Cricetulus griseus: one gene and its partner. The protein of the gene in region 1 purifies or fractionates together with the protein of each later gene. This does not show direct contact. Links are inferred from orthologs where the notes say so. Each region holds a gene or a part of one and is shown in the gene's direction. Other genes may lie near its edges.

Region 1 (10,295 bases):
ACTGGGGGAGGGGGCTACTTGGCTTACAGGTTACAGTTCATCATGGAGGGAAGCCAAGGCAGGAATGCAGCAGGAACCTGGAGACAGGAACTAAATTAGAGACTATGGAGGGATGCTGCTTGCTTGTTTGTTCCTCATAGCTCGCTCACTTTGCCTTTTTATACAACCCAGAACTACCTGCCCATGGGTGGCACTACCCACAATGGGTGGATCCTTCTAGCATCAATTATGAATCAAGAAAGTGTCTGTAAGCCAACCTGATGGAGACATTTTCTCACTTGAGGTCCTTCCTCCCAGATGACTCCAGCTGGGGACTAATTGACAAAAAAACAAAAACAAAAACTAAAAAAACAAAAACTACATGGTACACCACCTAAGGTGGAGAAATATGCACAAACATTGCCAAACTAACCCTTATCTTCCCTGTCATTTTGCATTATTAACTACCTGAGGTTGGCACTCTTTGTCTTGTCTGTTTTCACAATTTCTTACTCATTGTCCAATCTGGTAATAGTGAAATCTAGCTCTGCTGACATAGGAGTCCCATGAATTCAAGGCTGAGCTATTAACGAACCCCACACTCTTCTTTTGCTATGAAAATACGTAGATCAACATGCTTTTCCTCCTCCCTCAGATTAGCTCCTGAACTCCAAAAGACCCCAAATTGTTTGTATAGATGACACTGAAGCACTTAGGCACACTGTTCTCACACTGGACTCTCCTTAAGTCCCAAACAATAACTCCGTGACTTCCCATCACCATGGCCTGAAATCCTTTTCTTTTCTTTCTTTCTTTTTTTTTTTTTGTTTTTTTGTTTTTTGTTTTTTGTTTTGTTTTGTTTTGTTTTTCGAGACAGGGTTTCTCTGTGGCTTTGGAGGCTGTCCTGAAACTAGTTCTTGTAGACTAGACTGGCCTTGAACTCACAGAGATCCGCCTGCCTCTGCCTCCCAAGTGCTGGGATTAAAAGCGTGTGCCATCACCGCCTGGTGGTTTCTGAAATCCTTTTCTGCAAAGTTAGTTAACCAAGAATCCTGGCCACGCCTGAATAGAGGTCCCAAGCCACTGAGGGGGACTCCTCAGGGTGCCCTGTCAGCAATGTTGAGCTGTGCCCGCCCCCCCAACAATATCAGCAAGTGACTGAACAATGTAAAATACAGTGATATCTTAGATCGGGTTAGGAAGCATTTCAAGTAGGGTGAATGAAGGTCCCATCCTGAACAAAGCGCCTGTGGAACATTCTAATAGAAATATCTAATTGGCTGTCTATTTGAGACTGGTGTTCTAATAAGTGGTTGGCCACAGATACCATTTCTTTTAATGACATAAGATAAGAAACAGAAGCTAGCTGGGCGTTGGTGGCGCACACCTTTAATCTCAGCACTTGGGAGGCAGAGGCAGGAGGATCTCTGTGAGTTTGAGGCCAGCCTGGTCTACAAGAGCTAGTTCCAGGATAGGCTCCAAAGCTACACAGAGAAACCCTGTCTCAAAAAAAGAAAACAAAACAAAACAAAACAAAAAAAACAGATGCCACAAAAATAGGCAAATTTGCCTAGGACGAATAATATGTAGGGTAAGGAAAAGGCTAAAACAGGTCCCTTGAAGCCCTCAAATGTCAAGCTGGTAGGGCACTGCAAAGGAGATTGAAAAACAAAAAACAAAAAACAAAAACCAGCAGTGGGGGAGGGAGTATCAACAGAGGGCTATGTTATCAAAGCCACAGAGGATGAGTAAGAGGAAGGAAAAAACATGATGAGGTGGGAGAAGCCTTGAGGTCAAGGAAGATAAACAGGGCATAGGATCTTACATGGCAGGAACAAGATGCCAGCTGAAGGTGGCAAGTGACAACACTCAGAAAAAGAATACACTTGCTGGGTGTGCTCTAAGCTGTTTCCCGAAGGACCCGACTACTGTGTCTGGCTTTCTTTCTTTGCTTGGTTTCTTGATACAGGGTCTCCTGTAGCCCAGGCTGGCCTCTGAGTTGCTATGTAGCCAATGATAACTTTGTACTCCTGATTCTCCTGTCTCCAACTCTCGGGTATATGGAGGTCTCCAGTGTTATTTCCAAGCACTATCCACCTTGGTGGGAATTTTTTGTTTGTTTTGTTGGGGTTTTGGTTAGGTTTGGTTTGGATTTTTTAATTTTTTGTTTCTTTTGAGGGGGACGGTGGTTTGGTTTGGTTTTTATTTCAGAGACCAGGTATCACCATACAGCCCTGTCTCACCTAGGCTATATAGAACACCCTAACCTGAAACTCACAGGGTTCTGCCTGCCTCTGCCTCCCTGGTGCTAGTATTAAAGGCATATACAGTCATGCCTGGCTCCACCTTCGTTTTTTTTTTTTTTTTTTTTTTTTTTTTTTTTTTTTTTTTTTTTTTTTTTTTGGCACAGGGCTTCACATTGACTTGGAGACTAAGCTGGCTGGCCAGTGAGTTCCAGTGATATGCCTGTCTCTGTGGCCCCAGCCCTGGGATTGTAATTGTGTGCCATGAGTCCTAGGGACTAAACTCAGGTCTTCATGCTTATAAGACAAGCTCTTACTGACTGAGCTAGCTCTCTAGCCCCAGATGTTCTTGTTCTTTTCTTTTTTTTGGGGGGGGGGGGGACAGGAGCTTTGGAAAAATGAGATTCTAAGCTCAAAATCCACCTCCTCTGTGGTAAATCTACAATAGGTTTACAAAACTCCAATATATAAGTCAAGACTTGAGTTGATACACCTTATGTGACAGAAGAGCTCAGTGTATAAAAGTAACCACAAATGCAACATTAATCATGTTGTGTGGTTGCTACAGCATGCAAACACAGCTTTGGGTTGTTTTAACACAGCTTTGGATTGTTTTAATAAATGTTTCCAAATAATTAATAATCAGTGATGGTTCATCTTGATGGCAACAGGACAGGATTTAAAGTAACCGGACCATGGAAATGAGCCTCTGGGAATGTCTGGGAGGGAGTTTTTTTCTTTCTTTCTTTTTTTTGGTTTTTTTTTTTTTTTTTTGGTTTTTTTGTTTGTTTGTTTTTGTTTTTTTTGTTTGTTTGTTTTGTTTTTCGAGACAGGGTCTCTCTGTGGCTTTGGAGCCTATCCTGGCACTTGCTCTTGTAGACCTGGCTGGTCTCTAACTCACAGAGATCCACCTGCCTCTGCCTCCCGAGTGCTGAGATTAAAGGCGTGCACCACTGCCACCACCACCCAGCCAGACTCCATTTCCAAGGATGGCTGGAGCTGATGGGGGACCTCAATGGTAGTGTTTGCCTAGCATTTGCAAAATTATGGGGGTGGGGAGAAATCAATGTACCAGGTGGTGGTGGGGGATCAAAGATGACCCACCAATCCCTCTCATTGCGCATATCTTTTGCAGAGTTGCTTTGCTATTCCCTCATCAAGAGATGGAGCATGTTTTCCTGGTAAATCCAGGCTGATCCTGTGTCTTAAATTGACCAACAATGGATTTGACTTTCAGATCTAGGCTTGAAGGGGCCTCAAAGCTTCTGTTTTCACTGACTTGCTTGACAGACACCAATTCAAGCTAGGATAGGCCACTGACTGGTGAGCAATCACTGTATGAAGAAAAAGGTTTTGTTGGGGAGAATCGAGAGGCCCAGATATTAGCAAGACCTTAGACTCACGGGTAAAGTTGTCCTCCAATTCTAGCTATTTCAATAACAACTCTAGTTATGTCAATGACTTAGGTCTTTGGGATGTGACTAGAATATCTGAAGAATTTCATTTGGTTTAAACTGAACTTTAAATAGTGAGCAACTGTTATATAGGCCAGCACGGATGTTTATTCCCACTCTAATTCATCCAACACAATCCCATTAAAAGAACAGGGCATGGGCCGGCTGGAAATTGCCTTAGCACCCATCTTTCATGGGACTAACAAGTATGTAGGCAATGTCTGGAGACAGTTGGATCTATTAGAAGGAAAGGGGGACGAGGAAAAGGATGGCTACCATTAGATGACTAACCCCCAGCATCTCTAAAATGACAATGCTAACTGTATCATCTGTACACAATGTGGAAATGAGGGGCTGGGGGACTGAGATTGATTGATTCCCAGAACCAGGACTGGTGCCAGCGGTAGTCTGAGAGGCTGAGGCAGGTTTTAAAAGTTCAAAGACAGCCTGGGTACCTTCAATACTTTAAAATAAAAACAAAACAAAAAAAAGTAACAAGAGGGCTGGAGATGTAGCTCAATTGTTGATCACTTGCTTAGCCTACCAGTAATGAGAGGTTAGATCCTCAGTATCCAGGGGAAAAAGGAGATTTCCAGTTTCACATCTAGCTCAGAGGAGTCCCAACAGAAAGTTAACTTTCAGAAGCTTTCCTTGTCTGACGAAAAGGGAGATTTTAATAGTTCCTTTGTTTATTCTGAGGATGTGGCCAAAAAGCAGACATTAAACCCTCTGTTAGTGTTTGTAACTACAGCCATCATTTAAATCCCTATTTCCCTATTTACTTCCCTCTTCTCTGAAGTTGAAGTTTTACATCACCCAGAACAAGTTGCAAATAACGAAATTCTCAGTTACACTGATTTTTTTTTTTTCAATTATGAGCCAGGGTGTCAGGTAGCCCAAGCTTGCCTCAAACTCGCTATCTTGTTCTTAATTATCCTGTACTCTAGATACTTCTGCGTCCGCCTCCCAAAGCAGGAGAGCAATGTTTAGGTGACACTGGCGATCACCCCTAGGGCTTCATGCATGCTAGGCAAGTACACAGCCTAGGCGTTTTTGTTTGCAACAGACCGTATCTCTTTGAATACAGGAATCCTATATATTTGGGGAATGGCAATGTTCCAATTATCCCTCGATTTTCCTCAGAGGCCTGAGTAGGAATTCCAGGAGTGGATAATGACCTAAACTCAAAAGACTTTATTGAATTCAGCCCCAGACTAGTATTTTACCCCTCGCTGAATCTACCGTGCACAACAGGGAACGGCGGAGGCGCTTACCCCGACCAACAGTCCCACAGGTAACTCCGGCCGGCCGGATCCCTCCCTCCAGGCCCATCCTACTAGTAGCTCTTTGGGCGTGGCCCAGCTAGCGTGGCCAATTGGGCGTGGCGTGCGTAGGGCGAAGGCGTGGCTGAGAAGAGGAACTTCCGATTGGGCCCAACCCAACAACTTCCGGTAGCACTCGCCAATTTCCGGCCACAGACTCCGCCTCCGGAGGCTCACCTCGAGTATTTCCGACATCTCTCGGGCTTTTCCGTCTCGCTCTCGTTTGGCTCTCTCCACTTCGGGTATTTCCGTGTCACGCTCGGAGGAGTTCGGCAACCACTCGGCCTCCCCCATCCCCCGGTAACGGTCGCTGGTGAGTTTAAATGAGCCGGGGCTGGCCGGGCCGGAGTCGCTACGGGGGGGGCCTGAGGCACTGCAGAAAGTGGGCCTGAGCCTCAAGGATGACGGTGCTGCAGGAACCTGTCCAGGTAATACTAGCGCCTGCTCCGAGGCCTGGCGCCATGCCTGGGTCGCAAGCGGCGAGCAGCCACTCCGCGGCCTGCTGCGGCCTAGGCCCCGCTTCTCCCGCCTCCCTTTCGGCGAGCCCCCTACCTGTCTTTCGTCACTCCCGAGGCCTTGCCCGCGGCCTCAGCCGAGGTTAGCCCCGGCCCCGCATTACTTCTCGCCTGTTGTGCCAGCCGGGTTCGGCGGGAATCACTCGTTTCCGTCGGTCCTGGCGTCCGGCCATCCCCCTCTTGTTGGTCTGGGTTCCTGCCCGCGGTGGGAGACGAGGGGCCGCCCGAGACGGCGCTCCGAGTGCTCGGCGTCCCGGGGGTCGACACAGAAGCGCTTTTGAGCCGAGCTGGTGGGATTTCACACCCGTGGGGCAAGTTTACTGGTGTTTCCTTGCTTTTGTTTTACGTGAGGTGGTCGAAGGAAGACGTAAAATTACCCGTATTTTCGGTACTGGTTTTCGTTTCGGGAGCAGACTTTCTTGTCCACGTTACAGTTCTCCGTGGATTTCCCACCGGACAATGACGACCTGAGAAGGGAACTCCCAGGCCCACTGCTGCGGGGCAAACACCCCAGCAGGGGAGTGGACGAAAGGGCAGGTCTGGATTTTTTCCATCACCTAGGATGGGTATCAGGAGGCATTTTACCGTGCTGATTTAGAAGGTGTTTAGGAAATTAGAGATAATTGCTTTCCCATCCATTTCACCATTCGTCCATTCCTTAACCACACCAAGGTATGCATTGACGCACACGGTGCTGTTGTCAGAAGAAAGCCTATTGGGTTTTGAAGTATGTGATGCAGTGCCAAGTCATTTTCCCCCCTGCCACATCTGAAGAAACTGAACCTATTGTCCTTTGGTGGTGGACCAGGTTTGGGAGATGTTTCATTCCACCGTATGATCTTTGACATGACCACAGTTGGCCTCCATTAAATTACAATCATTAAGCCATAAGCTATTTTGAAGTTATAAATCAAACCGATTTTAGAAATTGCTGCGAATTGCCTTAGGTAAGACTGACAACAAATATTTAATATTTCAGTACGTCAGTACAGCATTTCCTTAATGTCTCATCGCAGCCTAAAATACGGTTTCCCTAGTTGAACTTCATCTCCAGATGTTTACATGGTGACAGCTATTAGTATTTGAATTAATATAATTCTGGATTATATCTTCGGAACTGTACATAAAACATATGTTTGTATGTTTTTTGTTTTATTTTTTTTGTTTTATTTTGTTTTTCAAGACAGGGTTTCTCTGTGGCTTTGGAGGCTATCCTGGAACTAGCTCTTGTAGACCAGGCTGGTCTCGAACTCACAGAGATCTGTCTGCCTCTGCCTCCCGAGTTCTGGGATCAAAGGCGTGGGCCACCACTGCCCAGCCCATGTCTCTGTATGTTGTATCAATTCTTCCAAAGCTGCATTTCTTTCCAGATTTCTCTTCCTAGTGTAGAGTCCCTTAAAAGGCCCTTTTGAGGCCTAACATGAAATTAAACGGATAAGGAGGTTATTCAGATAATTAGTTTTTATTTCATATTGTAGTTTTGTCTTACTTTTCTGCTTTTCTGGAGCCAGAAGGCTTCTAAAGTGATATGATAGTTTACAGCATGTAAACTACTACTTAAAAATTTTTAACTTCTAGAAAACCATGAGAGTGTAGAATACATTGTTTAAGCAAGATAGAATCCAGCAGGTTTCCTGTTTGTTTTTAAAGTACTGTGGAATTTACCTCCCTCTCCTCCATAATAACTTTTTCCATTAGATTTTAGGGTAATTGTAAGAAGTTTTGGGGTGTGAGGGGATGAGAATAATTTATAGTTGGCCGGAGGATCAGGAGTTCAGGGTCATCCTTGGCTACAGAGCAAGTTCAAGGCCAACATGGGCTATCTGAAACCCTGTCTCAAAAAAAACAAAAAACAAAAACAAAATAACAACAAAAGGAGCAGTTAGCAGTGGGAGAAATTAGCTAACTTTGAGCAGGAATGCTGTTGAAAATGAGAAAGAGCTAGTATGAAAGAAAAAAGTAAAGAGATGCTAAGATAATTGTTTTAAGAATTGTTCATTCCATATATCAGGATGAAAATAGTGTTGAGAATATTTTCTTTACTTTGTTCCTGGTGATCTAGGCACAGGAAAAAGTTGACAGAAATAATGCACAACTATTTGTTCCTACCCCCCTCCTTAAAATTTTTACCCAGTGAAATGTGCCATATAGACTTAAATATAAGCCCCTCCCCAAGTTAGCACTCATAGAAAAAACATTGCTTTATATTTGAGTCTTCTGTTTTTTGAGACAGGGTTTCTCTGTGGGACAGTTCCAAGCTGTCCTGGAACTTTCTCTGTAGACCAAGCTGGCCTCGAACTCACTTGAGATCCACCTGCCTCTGCCTCCCAAGTGCTGGAATTACAGGCACCTGGCTTTATATTTGAGTCTTTACAAAATAATCTTTGATATTTCAAAGCACAGATTGATTTTTGTGGCAGTCTCACTGTGTAGCCCTGGCTGGGATTAAAGGCATTCACAGTACTAATTTGGGTGCCTGTAAAAGTGGCATTTTTTTGTTGGTATGGTGTCTTGTTTAACTTTCATTTACTGTGTGTACATGTGTGTGTCAGTCAGTCTTGGTGACAAGTATCTTTATCCTCTGAGCCATTTCACTGAAAGCTGTTGTTGTTTTAAGAGGCAGGTGTTTTATATAGCTGCATCAATTGATAAAGCTGTATCAATTATTGCTGTAAGTGAAGCTTCACAGATGTATTGGATGAAATTGTAGACAAGCCTTTTGAAAATGATTTTACTGTGCAATAGAGGAACTAGATGGAAGAACCTTGCATGCTAATCTGCATCTGAAACTCCAACTAGAGGCAGGAAGATAAGGAGTTCAAGGTCTGCCTGAGCTACATAAATCCATGTCTCAAAAACCAAAACAAAATAAAGGAGTTTGGGTATTATCCATCCATAATTCATGTCATCCTTTTAGAGGTTTTTTGTTGTTGTTGTTGCTTTTTTTGTTTGTTTTGTTTTTTCGAGGCAGGGTTTCTCTGTGGCTTTGGAGGCTGTCCTGGAACTAGCTCTTGTAGACCAGGCTGGTCTCGAACTCACAGAGATCCTCCTGCCTCTGCCTCCCGAGTGCTGGGATTAAAGGCGTGCGCCACCAACGCCCAGCTTAGAGTTTTATTTAATAGTGAAAGAGTACTTTTGACTTGGGATAAGATGTCCCCAAGTGTCACCTAATAATGTTTCAAAGAGTACCATACTATGGCTGCTACGTGAGAAGCATCATGGTCAAGAGAAGCCTGTCGTCTTAGAAGCAAAGGTATCTAGAGTAGCAGTGGAACAGGAAAAGGGTAGATAAAGGTTTTAGAGGTAGAAATTCAGGAAATAACTTGGAAAGTAGAACCATTGAAACATGGGGAGGGGATTGTCTTCCTGGAGTTGGTATCAAAAATGACTGCCTGAATTTTATTTCAGTGGTGCTGTTTAAAAAATGAAAAATCCAGCTGCTTGTGATGACACATGCCTTTTGATCTCAGCACTTGTGAGGCTTGTAAGGTCAAGGCAGGTAGATCTCTGTTCGTCCAAGGCCAGCCTGTCTACATAGTGAATTCAGGCTAGCCAAGGCTGCATAGTGAGATGCTGTGTCAAAACAATTCATAGCTCCCCCAAGCTAAAACTAATTCCCTAGAAAAATAATAAATGCTTTTCTACCAGATAGGATTGGGGCAGATTCAAAAGAAGACATTTAAGAATTCTGTTTTGGCCTGGTGGTGATGAACACCCTTAATCCCAGCACTTGGAAAGCAGAATCAGGCAGATCAGCCTGGTCTACAGAGTGAGTTTCAGGACAGCCAGTGCTACACAGAGAAACCCTGTCTCAAAAAAAAAAAAAAAAAATATGTTCTGTTTTGAAGAAAAGAAGTTGGAAATAACTTGTGAAACTATGGAGACATAATTCCTCATCTTGGGTTCTAGTCCTGAGAACATGAAGAATGATTAGCAGGAACAATTGGATGTTAACTATGCATTTAATTACATAGATACTAATAAAGGAATTCAGGAAAGAGAGAGCTTTGTAGGTCAGAAAAAAAAATGGGGACTGGCTTTTTGAGCAATTAGAATTTGAAACCTAAGAAATTAAAAAAGAGGAGGTGTATTCTTGACTTGAAATTGCATGAGCAACAGCCCAAAGTTTAGAGTATCACTTAGAACAGTAAAATATTCTTTTTTTTTTTTAAGGAAGTTTTTGTTTTTAATGTTTTCCCTTATTAATTATGGCAAGTTCATTTCTTAACTGGGACAAAAACTATTTTGGGGGGATTCTGACCTGTGAAAATATTGTATTCTTAACTAGACTAGAAGTTGAAAACAGAAGTTTTTGACTAGCCAGAATCAAATTACAGGAGACTCAGCATTTAAGCTGAAAGGTTTAGATTTAGTGTATTAATAATAAATCTTGGGCTAGCTTTGTACTCCCTTCTAGTGCAGGCAGGCCTATGACTTACTATCCTCTTGTCTCTGCTTCTGGAGTGCTGGGATTACAAACTTGTACCACTACCCCAGGCTGCAAGAAAATTTTGATAGAATTAGTAATGAAAGCAGTGTGAGCCAGGCGGTGGTGGTGCACACCTTTAATCCCAGCACTCAGGAGGCAGAGGTAGGTGGATCTCTGTGAGTTCCAGGACAGCCTCCAAAGACACAGAGAAACCCTGTCTCGAAAAAACAAACAAAACACAAGCAAACAAACAAAAGCAGTGTGTTGGGAATAGTGATGTGATTTTGTTGGTAAGGAGGAAAAGACAAGTTCGGTACATAGACTAGTAGGATGACCCAGCTGCATAGTAATGT
Region 2 (10,321 bases), on another chromosome or scaffold:
ACAACCACCTTGAATGAGATCTGGTGTCCTCTGCTGGCATGCAGGCAGAAGACTGTATACATAATAAATAAAATAAAATAAAATAAAATGGAACACAGGAAGAAAAACCTGTGAGTAAATGTGTGAATGTGTGATGCTAAGAAAAGGGCCATGCCACTTTAAGCCACCTTAAAGGAGAACAGCCATGTGCAGTCACTCTGCCGGCCTCGGGATTCCTATCATTACAAAGTTCTATGGCTGTGACAGACATACTACACTAATAAGCTGCAGCTCTTCCAAAGAACAACCAACACTGTTCCTTGTTTACCAAAAAGTTTCTCTTTAAAGGGGTGGAGGGTAAACTAGAGAAAATTTTCAAAGTAAAGATGAAAGTTTTAAAAGGCTGTCAAACTACAACCAAAATTAGGAAGAAAAATTATACTGAGAAATATGACTACTTAAACTTTTAAATGGAAAAATCCACAAAGAAAGCCTTAGAAATAGTTTTGTGCCACGTAGTGGTGGCACCCACCTTTAATTGTAGCACTCAGGAGGCAGAGGCAGGTGGATCTCTGAGTCAGAGACCAGCCTGGTCTACACAGCAAGTTCCAGGACAGCCAGGGCTACACAGAGAAATCCTGTCTCAAAAAACCAAAATAAATAAGAAAGAGTTTTACTACAAAAGGTTAATTTCTAAAGATATAAATAACTTTCAGAAAGTTTTTTTTTTTTTTTTTTTTAAGATAGCTATAGGAAAATGGGTATAGGAACAGTCAGTCAACAGAAAAGGGAAAGCAAATGGCCTTATTTTAATGAAAAGATGCTTAGTCTTACTTACTGGAAAAATACAAAACGAGGTGTATAAAGGGCATTCCCTGCAGCATTACTTATAAACAACAAAAAATCACTATACATTCATTCACTGAGGGAATACTATGAAGCTGTAAAAAGAGGTAACAGTCACAACGTCCCTTGTGGAGTGATCTGTTAGAAGGTAAAAGCAGCAAGATACAAACAGTAAAAAGAAGTGTGTTTGTCTTGGAGTACTTATTTACTGAGAACAAACTGAGAAGCACTACACCTATGAGGAGAGGAACAATCAAGGCAGAGGAGATGGGGCTAAAGCCAAGCTGCTCCCCGCAAGTCTGGATTTATGTTGTTTTATAGGGACTATGATGATGTTTTGATAACTCACACATAAAAAGGAAAAGAAGCAGTACTGAGCTGGACATGGCGCTCACATCCGTAATCCTAGCACTTGGGAAATGGAGGCAGGAAGATCATAAGTTCAAGATCAACCTTGGCTACAGAGCAAGTTCAAGGCCAGCCTGGGCTATATAAAACCCAACTAAAGCAAAACCAGAAGAAGGAAGCTATCAAAACTATGGGTCTTGAAGGGTTCCCACTGGCTAAAAACAAAACAATTTGAGGTATCAAAAAAATTGCAGTATGTTCTAACAGTTTAAACACATTAAAGTCTAATGGTTTGTTTTTAAAGGCAAAGCCCTCAGGTTAACTCAGGAGGTTGCTAGGCCACAGTTTTAAACATATTAAAGTCTATCTGTTGGTTTTAAAGGTAAAGCCTTCAGGTTACCTTTGAAGGTTGCCAGGCCACCAAGTCATTGCTGTAGTCTGAAAAGAAAGGAACAGAGTTAAGCATTTTTCTTGCCATTCCTGTCCCAACTGTATTTCAGGGCAGTCAGACAGTTATGGGAGGCAAGTTCTTCAGCAAAGTGCCAGACAAGACACAATTAGAAACCACCACTCTGTGGCTGTGGTGCAGTAACAGACCCAGGCACTGCTAGCCATGAAAGAAAGGTATCCCTATTAACTGAAAGGCTCTTGAACAATTTCATGGTGGGTCAGCTGAACTGATAGCACAGGAACCACTCTACACAGCTCAACTGTAACATCCCAGATAGGATGACTCAGACATTAAATGTCACCCTGATAATGAATGCAACAGATAATTTTCATAATATAGAACCTACACCTATGGCTTTTTTTCTTGCACTTCCTATCAAAAAAAAAAAAAAAAAAGTTGAATCTAACACTTCTGATCACTGTATTTCAACAGAACTTTCTGTGATTATGGAAACATTTTTATCTGTATTACTCAAGCAGCAGCCACTAGGCAACCTGTGACTGCTGGGTGTTTCAAAGGTGACTAATGCAACTGGGGAACCAATTATTTATTTCATTTAAAACAGCACGGCTATCTGATGACGACCATACTGGACAGTGTAACTCAGGATTCAGCCAGTGGAGTAGAGGTCATAGGTGAAGTAGAGACGAGTGTTCAAAACTACACACAACCAGCTAATTTTTAAATGGTAAAGAGGAATGGGAGGTTAAGAAGCAGCTATTGCTAGAGGATTTAAATGCCTGGCAAACCAATGAAGCAGACAGTTCTCTGCAGAATTTTGATCCAAACAAGGTATTGCAAGCACATGTGGAGTAGCTGGAGAAACCTGATCCCACTGGATACTGACATTGTGTATTTTTTTTACAAATTTGTACTGCTATAAAAGTAGTACTATGGTTTTATAAAAGCAAATCTAGCCCTTGGCATGGGAAGCATCTTAGCTATGACAGCCATGGGGTGGGGAGCATATTAGCTATGACAGTTTGGACTAATGCTGTCACTGTCAGCTCATACACAGTAGGTGAGAGCAGAAAGGCTAAGTAACGGTCCTCTACTGCTCCATGGGAGGAAGCAACATTGTCATAATTAATAATATCTATATTGTCCTTAAAACTTCAGTATTCGGGCTGGAGAGATGGCTCAGCAGTTAAGAGCACCGACTGCTCTTCCAGAGGACCTGAGTTCAATTCCCAGCAACCACATGGTGGCTCACAACCATCTGTTATGAGATCTGGTGCCCTCTTCTGGTGTGCAGATATACATGGAAGCAGAATGTTGTATACATAATAAAATCTTTAAAAAAAAAAAAAAAAACTTCAGTATGCACACATTTTAAATGGCTGTGTATGTGAGTTTGTAAATCTCTAACCCATTTAACCCATTTTAGTTTTACAGCCTCCTTTACTGATCAATAAAAGACAAAGAACATGGGACAAAAATTAACCTAAAGATGGTGCTGAATTCCAAATAAGAAAACTTGTTTTGTTATACATTAAGCTACAGACTTTAACAGTAAGTGTAGCTTGTCATGGTGGTGCATGCCTTTAATCCCAGCACTCGGGAGGCAGACGCAGGTGGATCTGAGTTCGAGGCCAGCCTGGTCTGTAAGGCGAGTTCCAGGACAGCTAGGGCTATTACACACACACACACACACACACACACACACACACACACACACACACCATGAAGAGTAGGTGTAAATAGCTAAAGATAATTTATATTCATTGATCCTTTACTTAAATACAAAATATAAACTAAATACAAAATTAAAACTAAATGTAGGTATACGAGAAGTTGAGCGCCTACCCTGCTTTGCTAAATAAATTTTTAAAAATCTAAATTAGCCTCAAGAAAGACAGCTTAGAAAAGCCAGTCGAGGTGGCACCAGGTCCTTAACCCAGGAGGCAGAGGCAGGCCCATTTCTGCGAGTTTGAGGACAGTCTGTTCTACATAGTGAGTTCCTGGCCAGTCAGGGTTTTTCTCCCCTCCTCCCCCTCCCTCCCCAGGTTTTCTCTGCGTTACTTTGTAGCAGCCCTGGCTGTCCCGGAACTCGCTTTGTAGACCAGGCTGGCCTCGAACTCACAGTGATCTACCTGCCTCTGCCTCCCAAATGCTGGGATTAAAGGCGTGCTCAGTCGGGGCTTCATAGTAAGACCCTGACTTGGAGGGAGAGCAGACGCTGAGTAGGGAGGGTGTATTTTGGGGCAAGGGTAAAGTCTACCAATGAGACAACAGCCTGCTCTAACTGCGCGATTTTGTTACAGGGCAAAAGCCCTATTTGCAATCCAGATTCGCTGCCAAGCGTCTCCGTGGTTCAAGCGTTATGGAACTGCCCTTTCCAAACTTCCACTCTCCCAATCTGGTTCCCGATGCTTGACTTCTTTAAGCATGAGGCCATCTGCGATTCCCGCCACGCTTCCGCTCCTCTCCTACTAACATCACCAGGGTTTCCCGCTGAGCCGCTGACCCTAAAGCCCGCAGCCCGCCCGCCCGCCCGCACGCCCGCCTCCGCCGAGGCCGCAGCACCTGGCTGGCCGGCACCGAGCTGCACATGGAGTAGTCGGAGAGACCCACGGGTGCGGTGCCCGGGCAGCCGCAGGCAAACAGTAGAGGGTCCGGCTGCATGTGGGAATCGACGGACAGCGGCCGCGGGCCATGCGGCCGGGAAACTAGCGGCACCACGGTGGCCAGGGCCGCGTCCGCACCACAACAAGCCGCGGCTCGCCGGTCTTTGGGGCACGCAGGCGGTTACAGAGCGCGTCCCCGGCGGAGCGCGTCCCCGGCGGAGCGCGCACCCGGGGCCTGCTCGCCGTTCCTCGGGGGCGCGCGCGCCCAACAATTGACGTTCGTCCCCCCCCGTCCCCGCCCCCTCCCCTCCCAGCAGCGATGGACTCACCACATACGGGGTATGCGGGCGCCGCGGGTCACGTGGCCGGGAGAAAGGGCGGGGCCGGGAGGAAGCCGATTCGCGCGCTGTGGGTAAGGGGTTTTTTTTTTTTGTTTTTTTTTCCTTCCTTCCCGCGCCGGCGGCCCGGGTTTCGCAGAGTGTCCCCGCGTTCGCACCAGGCTCCGGGCGTCCAGTGCTTCCAGAAGTGCAGGCAGGTGCTGACCTTCAGAGCCACTTTCTTATTGCACGCCGTGCGGAGCGGAAGGATGCCCGCTTGGCGACGCTCCACCTCCCCTTTCCACTTCCGCATATGCTATCTCCAGCCTTCGGGCCGGAAGCTGCGGCGGCGGCGGCGACCGTCTCTGCGTCTCGTGACTCGGGATGGTGGCCCGTGAGGACCAAATTTAGTGTCTGCGCCGTGCTTTTAGCTTAGAAATACATTCACAAAGCTGTCGATTTCGAAAATGCATAAGACGTACGCGTCTAATAGCTAGAAGGAGATGTCTGGACAGTGCCATAAGCTCCCCTGTTGTCACGCACTGTCCCCAGAGATCTAGGGGACTGGTGAAGAGAAGGGCCTGGGGTCTAAAGGAGACAACCTGAGAGTTGAGAGTTGTGTTGGGCGTGAGGATTGCGCTAGAAAAGAGAAGAGTACGCGTGTAAAAATATATATTTAAGTAACCCGGAGAAGTTATAATATGCGGTAAGGGATTGGAGCAGTGGCCGTAGCTTGGGCATCGCCTGTGCTTGCTTCTTTGTTTATGTAAAGGGAGAACCCGAGTGCCCCACCCAAAGATCTGTCATCCGCGTTGGGTTTGGAAGGATGGCCAAACATTACCGATGAAGACGTGCAGGAGGTGGATGAAAAGCATGCCGGGTTGCAAGCGTATAGAAGAGGGACATGTTGCAAAATGTTGAGGCCGACTTGTGGAAAGATCGGGAATCATTGGTACAGCTGTTACACATTACCACTGGAGACAGAAGTACCCTACCCGTCAGTCACAAAGCCGACCTAACTTCTCATAGATTAGTTAAGGCAAACAGCAAGCGTTGGAGGACAGAAAACCTGTATAGACCTGAGAAAATCAGTGGGAGAAGTGTCAAAGGTAGCCCAAGACATAGCTCCAAGAACAAAGGAGTGACAAGAAAGTTAGAAAACTTGTGGGATTCTGGAAGTGTGGCTGGAACTGACAGGAAGGATTAGTTTTACGTTTCTGCAGCTAGCTCTGCATTATCCACTGGCTAGAGGCAGTTAAATCTAAGTGTAAAAAAAAAAAAAAAAAAGATAAGCAGTCACCTGGTTCCTAGGTGGCAGGAGGTACTGGCCACCTTTTGCTTCATTGTGTGTGCATGACTTGATGGTAGTGAAGTTTGTGCCTAGAGGTGGAGTGAGGGGTGAGTGTAGAGGCCAGAGGTCAGCACCAGTGTGTTCCTCTTATCGCTTCCACTTTGAGTCTTTCACTAAGCCTGTGAGCTTTCTGTTCAGCTGTCTGGCAGTCTCTCCCAGAGGTCTTCCCCTCTCTGCCTCCCACCTCTGGGATGGAAGTGCATGCCATTGTGCCAGGCTTTTTATGTGAATACCAGCAATCTGAATTTGGGTATCCTTGCTTGCAGAGCAAGCACTTTACCCACTGAGTTGTCTCCCAAGCCCCCTCTGTTTAATGTTTGAAAGTAAAAGCCATTCTCCACCCCCAAACTAGATGAATAATGCTAGCTTGCCTTGAATACTGTTGGAGGCAAGCACATACTTGTATGGCAAAGTTAGACTCCAATACCAAAGCTTGTTTTTTACATGAGTCTCCCTTCTCTCAGAAACAGAGGAGTCCCTGAGAGAGCAGTGTGCTAGTAGTTTCAAGGCCTGCTTTGGGTTGGCACTTAGTGGCAGGGAGTACAGTTGGGCTTGTTTGTGATGACCAGTCTTGTGAATTATTGCAGCTGTCTCGGGAGAAAACTGAGGAGTCATCTATGGTCAGGAAGCTCTCGGACCAGGCACTGAAGAGAGCCAGCAAGATAGCTCAGTGGCATAAAGGCATTCCCTGCCAAGTGTGGCACCTGAGTTTAGTCTCTGGGACCCACCTCGTGGAAGAAGAGAACCATTCACCCCAAGATGTCCTTTGACTCCCGCATATACATACACAAATAAATGTTTTGTTTTTTAGGAGGAAGAGGGTTGAGTGTTGGGAACACAACACCAAGATCCTTGCACCTACAGATCTCCAGGGAGACTAGGAATGTTCAGAATGCAGGATTTTCTTTAGAATGGGAAAGATGGAAAACCTGTTCTTCCTTCTAGGAAGCTGGTAATTGGAAATGGTTAATAGCATGGTAATCAGTGTTATCTGTTGGGCCAGCCATATCAAGCTCCCACAACCAGGACCAGAGATAACCTAATAGTCTAAATGACCCTTACATTATCTGTCTAGCCAGAGACCCCCCCCCCAAGCACCCACAACCAACACCATGGGTGGCTAAAAGTCCAGATGTCCTCTGTGCTATCTGTATGACTGAGACCTAGACCAGACCAGACCCTTTTTTAGGCACTTAAGCTAATATAGGTAGCCTAGCTGTAGAAACCAGCTTCTTGGAAGAAATGACATATTTCTTCCAATGAATATATTTCTCATATAAACCCTGAGTCAAGTTTTGTTGTAATTACACTTCCTTGTGCACTGGGGATTGTATTACACTGAGACACTTTTTTCCAAATTATACTGTATTTAAATTTGTTGAGAATAAACCAACTGGCATCAGACTCCCCATAGCCAATCTGAGCCCTGTTTTCATTCTCATTTCTTCACAGTTGGCTTCCCTGCCTGGATAACTGCAGGGCCCGCCTCGGCTGGGGATGTAGGTCAGTTGGTAGGGTGCTTAACTAGTACATAAAAAGCCCTGATTCAATTCCCAGTGCATCATAAAGCAGATATGATGCCACATGCCTATCATCCCACTGGTGGAGGCAGGAGGGTTAGGAGCTTACTGAGGCTTTTGGCTACAGGGTTTGAAGCTCTGTCTCAAAAAAGAGGAAGAGGGCTGGGCAGTTCTGGTGCACACGTATAATCCCAACATTCAGAAGGCAGAGGCAGGCGGATCTCTGTGAGTTCAAGGCCAGCCTGAACTACAGAGATTCCAGGACAGCCAGGGCTACACAGAGAAACCTGTATGCAAAAACAAGAAAGAGAGAGGAGGAGGAAGAGGAAGCCCAGAGGGACACAGAACCTGGAGCTGCCACTGTTGATCATGGCATATTACTTTTAGAGCTCAGGCTGGCTGCTGTTTAAGAAAGGAAGTGGTTTCCTGAGTAAGCCCAGCTGCCCACATTGTTCCTGTTTAAGGGTTAGCAGCTGGTCTATGGTTGGTCACTTTACACATTCCATCTCAGTGTCACCTCGCATGTCAAGGTCATGCTCCCATGCCAAGGTGTGAGCCAAGGCAGATGGAGATTTGTGCCAAATCATGGGGGCGGGCTTGGGGAGCAGGAGATGAGACTCGTCAAAGGCATTACAAACAGGGAAAAACTGTATACGATTGTAAAGAAAGCAACAGTTAGACGAAGGGCCTTCCAGGGCTTTGTTCAGAAATGTATTGCTCTCTGTTACACTGGGAACTTGTCTGTCAACTAGACTGCATCTTCACACTATCAAGCATCTGTCAGCTGAAGAGGAAAGAACTGTGATCTTTTATGTTGTCACCTGACCCATATAAAATGGGCCTTTCCTGAGGTGATGTTAAGAAACAAACAACAATAACAACACCAGTTTCAAGTTAAAAGTATGGGGAGTCCTGGTCCTGGGTTATACTGCACCCTCATCATGACCTCTTTGGCCTACAGAACTGACAAGACCAAAGCTGCAGGAAAATGGACAGTGAGGTACAACGGGATGGAAGGATCTTGGATTTGATTGATGACGCTTGGCGGGAAGACAAGCTACCATACGAGGATGTTGCAATCCCACTGGTAGGTCATGATCCAAGCTCAGGACAATGAGTCAGAGATGAAATGTGTGGAGGCTGCTGGAAGGTGAAATACTAGGCCCCAGAAATCCACACTGTGGCATCCTTCAAATCTAGAAGCCTCTGAAGAACAACTAGTTCATCTCTTCATGGCTCAGAGAACCAGCTGATATGACCACCTTAGTGGTCATTTTAGTGCTGGAGCCCAGATTTTCAGAGCCATGTGCTCTGTTTTCAGAAGTAACTAGTCAACACCAGGTCCACACCTGTAACTCCAGCTCCTGGGAGGCAAAGGAAGTTAGGAGAGTTCCAGGTGATTGGCTGAGAGTGTGGCATAGTGATAGGATGCTTGGGTAGCATGTGTGAGGCCCCTGAGCTCAGTCCCTACCAGTGCGAAAGCAGTGTTCAAGATGACATAGTTTGAGATCAGCCTAGGCTACATGAGAGCCATCTCAAAAATGTACAGAAAGAAAAACTCATGGTTGTTGTGGGTGTCCTTCCCTTTCAGAGCGAGCTTCCAGAGCCTGAGCAGGACAACGGCGGCACCACAGAGTCTGTGAAAGAACAGGAGATGAAGTGGACAGACCTGGCCTTGCAGTGCCTCCATGAGAACGTCCCACCTGCTGGAAACTGACACTAGGTTCCTTTCCCTTGGATGGAGTTTTCAAAAATACGTAGATAAAGCATGTTTCTTCTCTGTCTCCGAATTCAGATCTTTGCATAATAAATCAACACTCAAAAATGGGCACCCGCTTGATTTGTTAACAACAAAGTGCAGCATGAAAATGTTCTCAGTGAGAAACTGAGACTTCTCAGAATGCAGACTATTGGCTCCCGAAGCCAACGATTAGTCATTCACTCACTAGTGTTTGAACACAGTCCAGTCACATTTGCCTTTAGTTCCAGTGTCACTTCAGTCAACGTTTAACACTTCCCAGCCACTTCCATGTGTCCTCTGGCACAGGGAGTTGAAAATATGAGTGGGAAAGACACAGAGAAAGTCAGACGGAAAGAGACTCACAGACCAGTATGTGTGTCACACCTGAGAAGCGTTGAGTGGAGGTAGCCCGCAGGTGCGTGAGCCCCAAGCAGATACCCCACTCACTGGTGACTGGCATTCACTCCTAAGATCACCAGGCTATTTTCAGGCTCTGCATAAATGTACAGATTAAAAAGTTTGATCCCTAGAACTCCACTAAAAACTGGGCTGAGTAGCATGATGTCATGTGGTGGTGGTTATCTGGGTTCATGGTTAGTTACCTCTGCTCCCTGTCTGTGGGTGTGGCCTTTGGGCCACTGGCCAGGGTCTCCATTTGAATGGAGTACTCCTTTTATTCAGAATAGTAATGGTTCTCTTATCTCAGAGCCACTTCAAGTATAAACCACCTCAGAGCCGGTAGCCAGTACTTACTTAGTTACTTCCTTTGTTTATTTTGGTTTTTCAAGACAGGGTTTCTCTGTGTAGCCTTCACTGTCCTGGAACTCACTCTGTACACCAGGCTAGTCTCAAACATAGAGATCCCCCTGCCTCTACTTTCTGAGTGCTGGGATAAAAGGCATGTGTCACTCCCTGCATGGGCTGACCAGTACTGTATTTATATACAAACAGCCTGGATAGATGGCTCAAGTGGTTAAGAGCACTTTCTGGGTTCAGTTCCTGGTGTTCAGTTCCTGGTGTTCACATATTAGCTCACACCTGTCTATGACCCCAGTTCCAGGGGTTCCCTTCCCCTCTTCTGGCCTGTGAGGAGGCTGCACATGTGAGGTGCATGTAGGCAAGACGCACATAAAAATAAATCTTTTTTTTCTTTTTTTAAATGAGGAAGTGGGAATATTCTACAGACATTTATTTGTTGTTT

What was found.
Region 2: the proteins of Cdc27 (region 1) and Anapc13 purify together in Homo sapiens (affinity purification with mass spectrometry; 5 studies listed by BioGRID and IntAct, counting the BioPlex papers as one, with this or other methods). This does not show direct contact. The link is inferred for Cricetulus griseus from reciprocal best matches to the Homo sapiens genes CDC27 and ANAPC13.

What each region holds. Positions count from the first base shown.
Region 1 is NC_048600.1:117,571,003-117,581,297, reverse strand, and holds the start of Cdc27 (cell division cycle protein 27 homolog), read left to right. Parts: upstream 1-5,287; 5' UTR 5,288-5,399; coding exon 5,400-5,426; intron 5,427-5,550; exon of another isoform or gene 5,551-6,237; intron 6,238-10,295. UniProt on the Homo sapiens protein: Component of the anaphase promoting complex/cyclosome (APC/C), a cell cycle-regulated E3 ubiquitin ligase that controls progression through mitosis and the G1 phase of the cell cycle.
Region 2 is NC_048597.1:210,864,040-210,874,360, forward strand, and holds Anapc13 (anaphase-promoting complex subunit 13), read left to right. Parts: upstream 1-4,516; 5' UTR 4,517-4,520; coding exon of another isoform or gene 4,521-4,525; 5' UTR 4,526-4,603; exon of another isoform or gene 4,604-4,726; intron 4,727-4,948; exon of another isoform or gene 4,949-5,214; intron 5,215-6,662; exon of another isoform or gene 6,663-6,811; intron 6,812-8,340; 5' UTR 8,341-8,367; coding exon 8,368-8,466; intron 8,467-8,970; coding exon 8,971-9,096; 3' UTR 9,097-9,208; downstream 9,209-10,321. Other genes in the region: Cep63 (centrosomal protein of 63 kDa), read right to left, coding at 1,574-1,611, 4,151-4,249. UniProt on the Homo sapiens protein: Component of the anaphase promoting complex/cyclosome (APC/C), a cell cycle-regulated E3 ubiquitin ligase that controls progression through mitosis and the G1 phase of the cell cycle.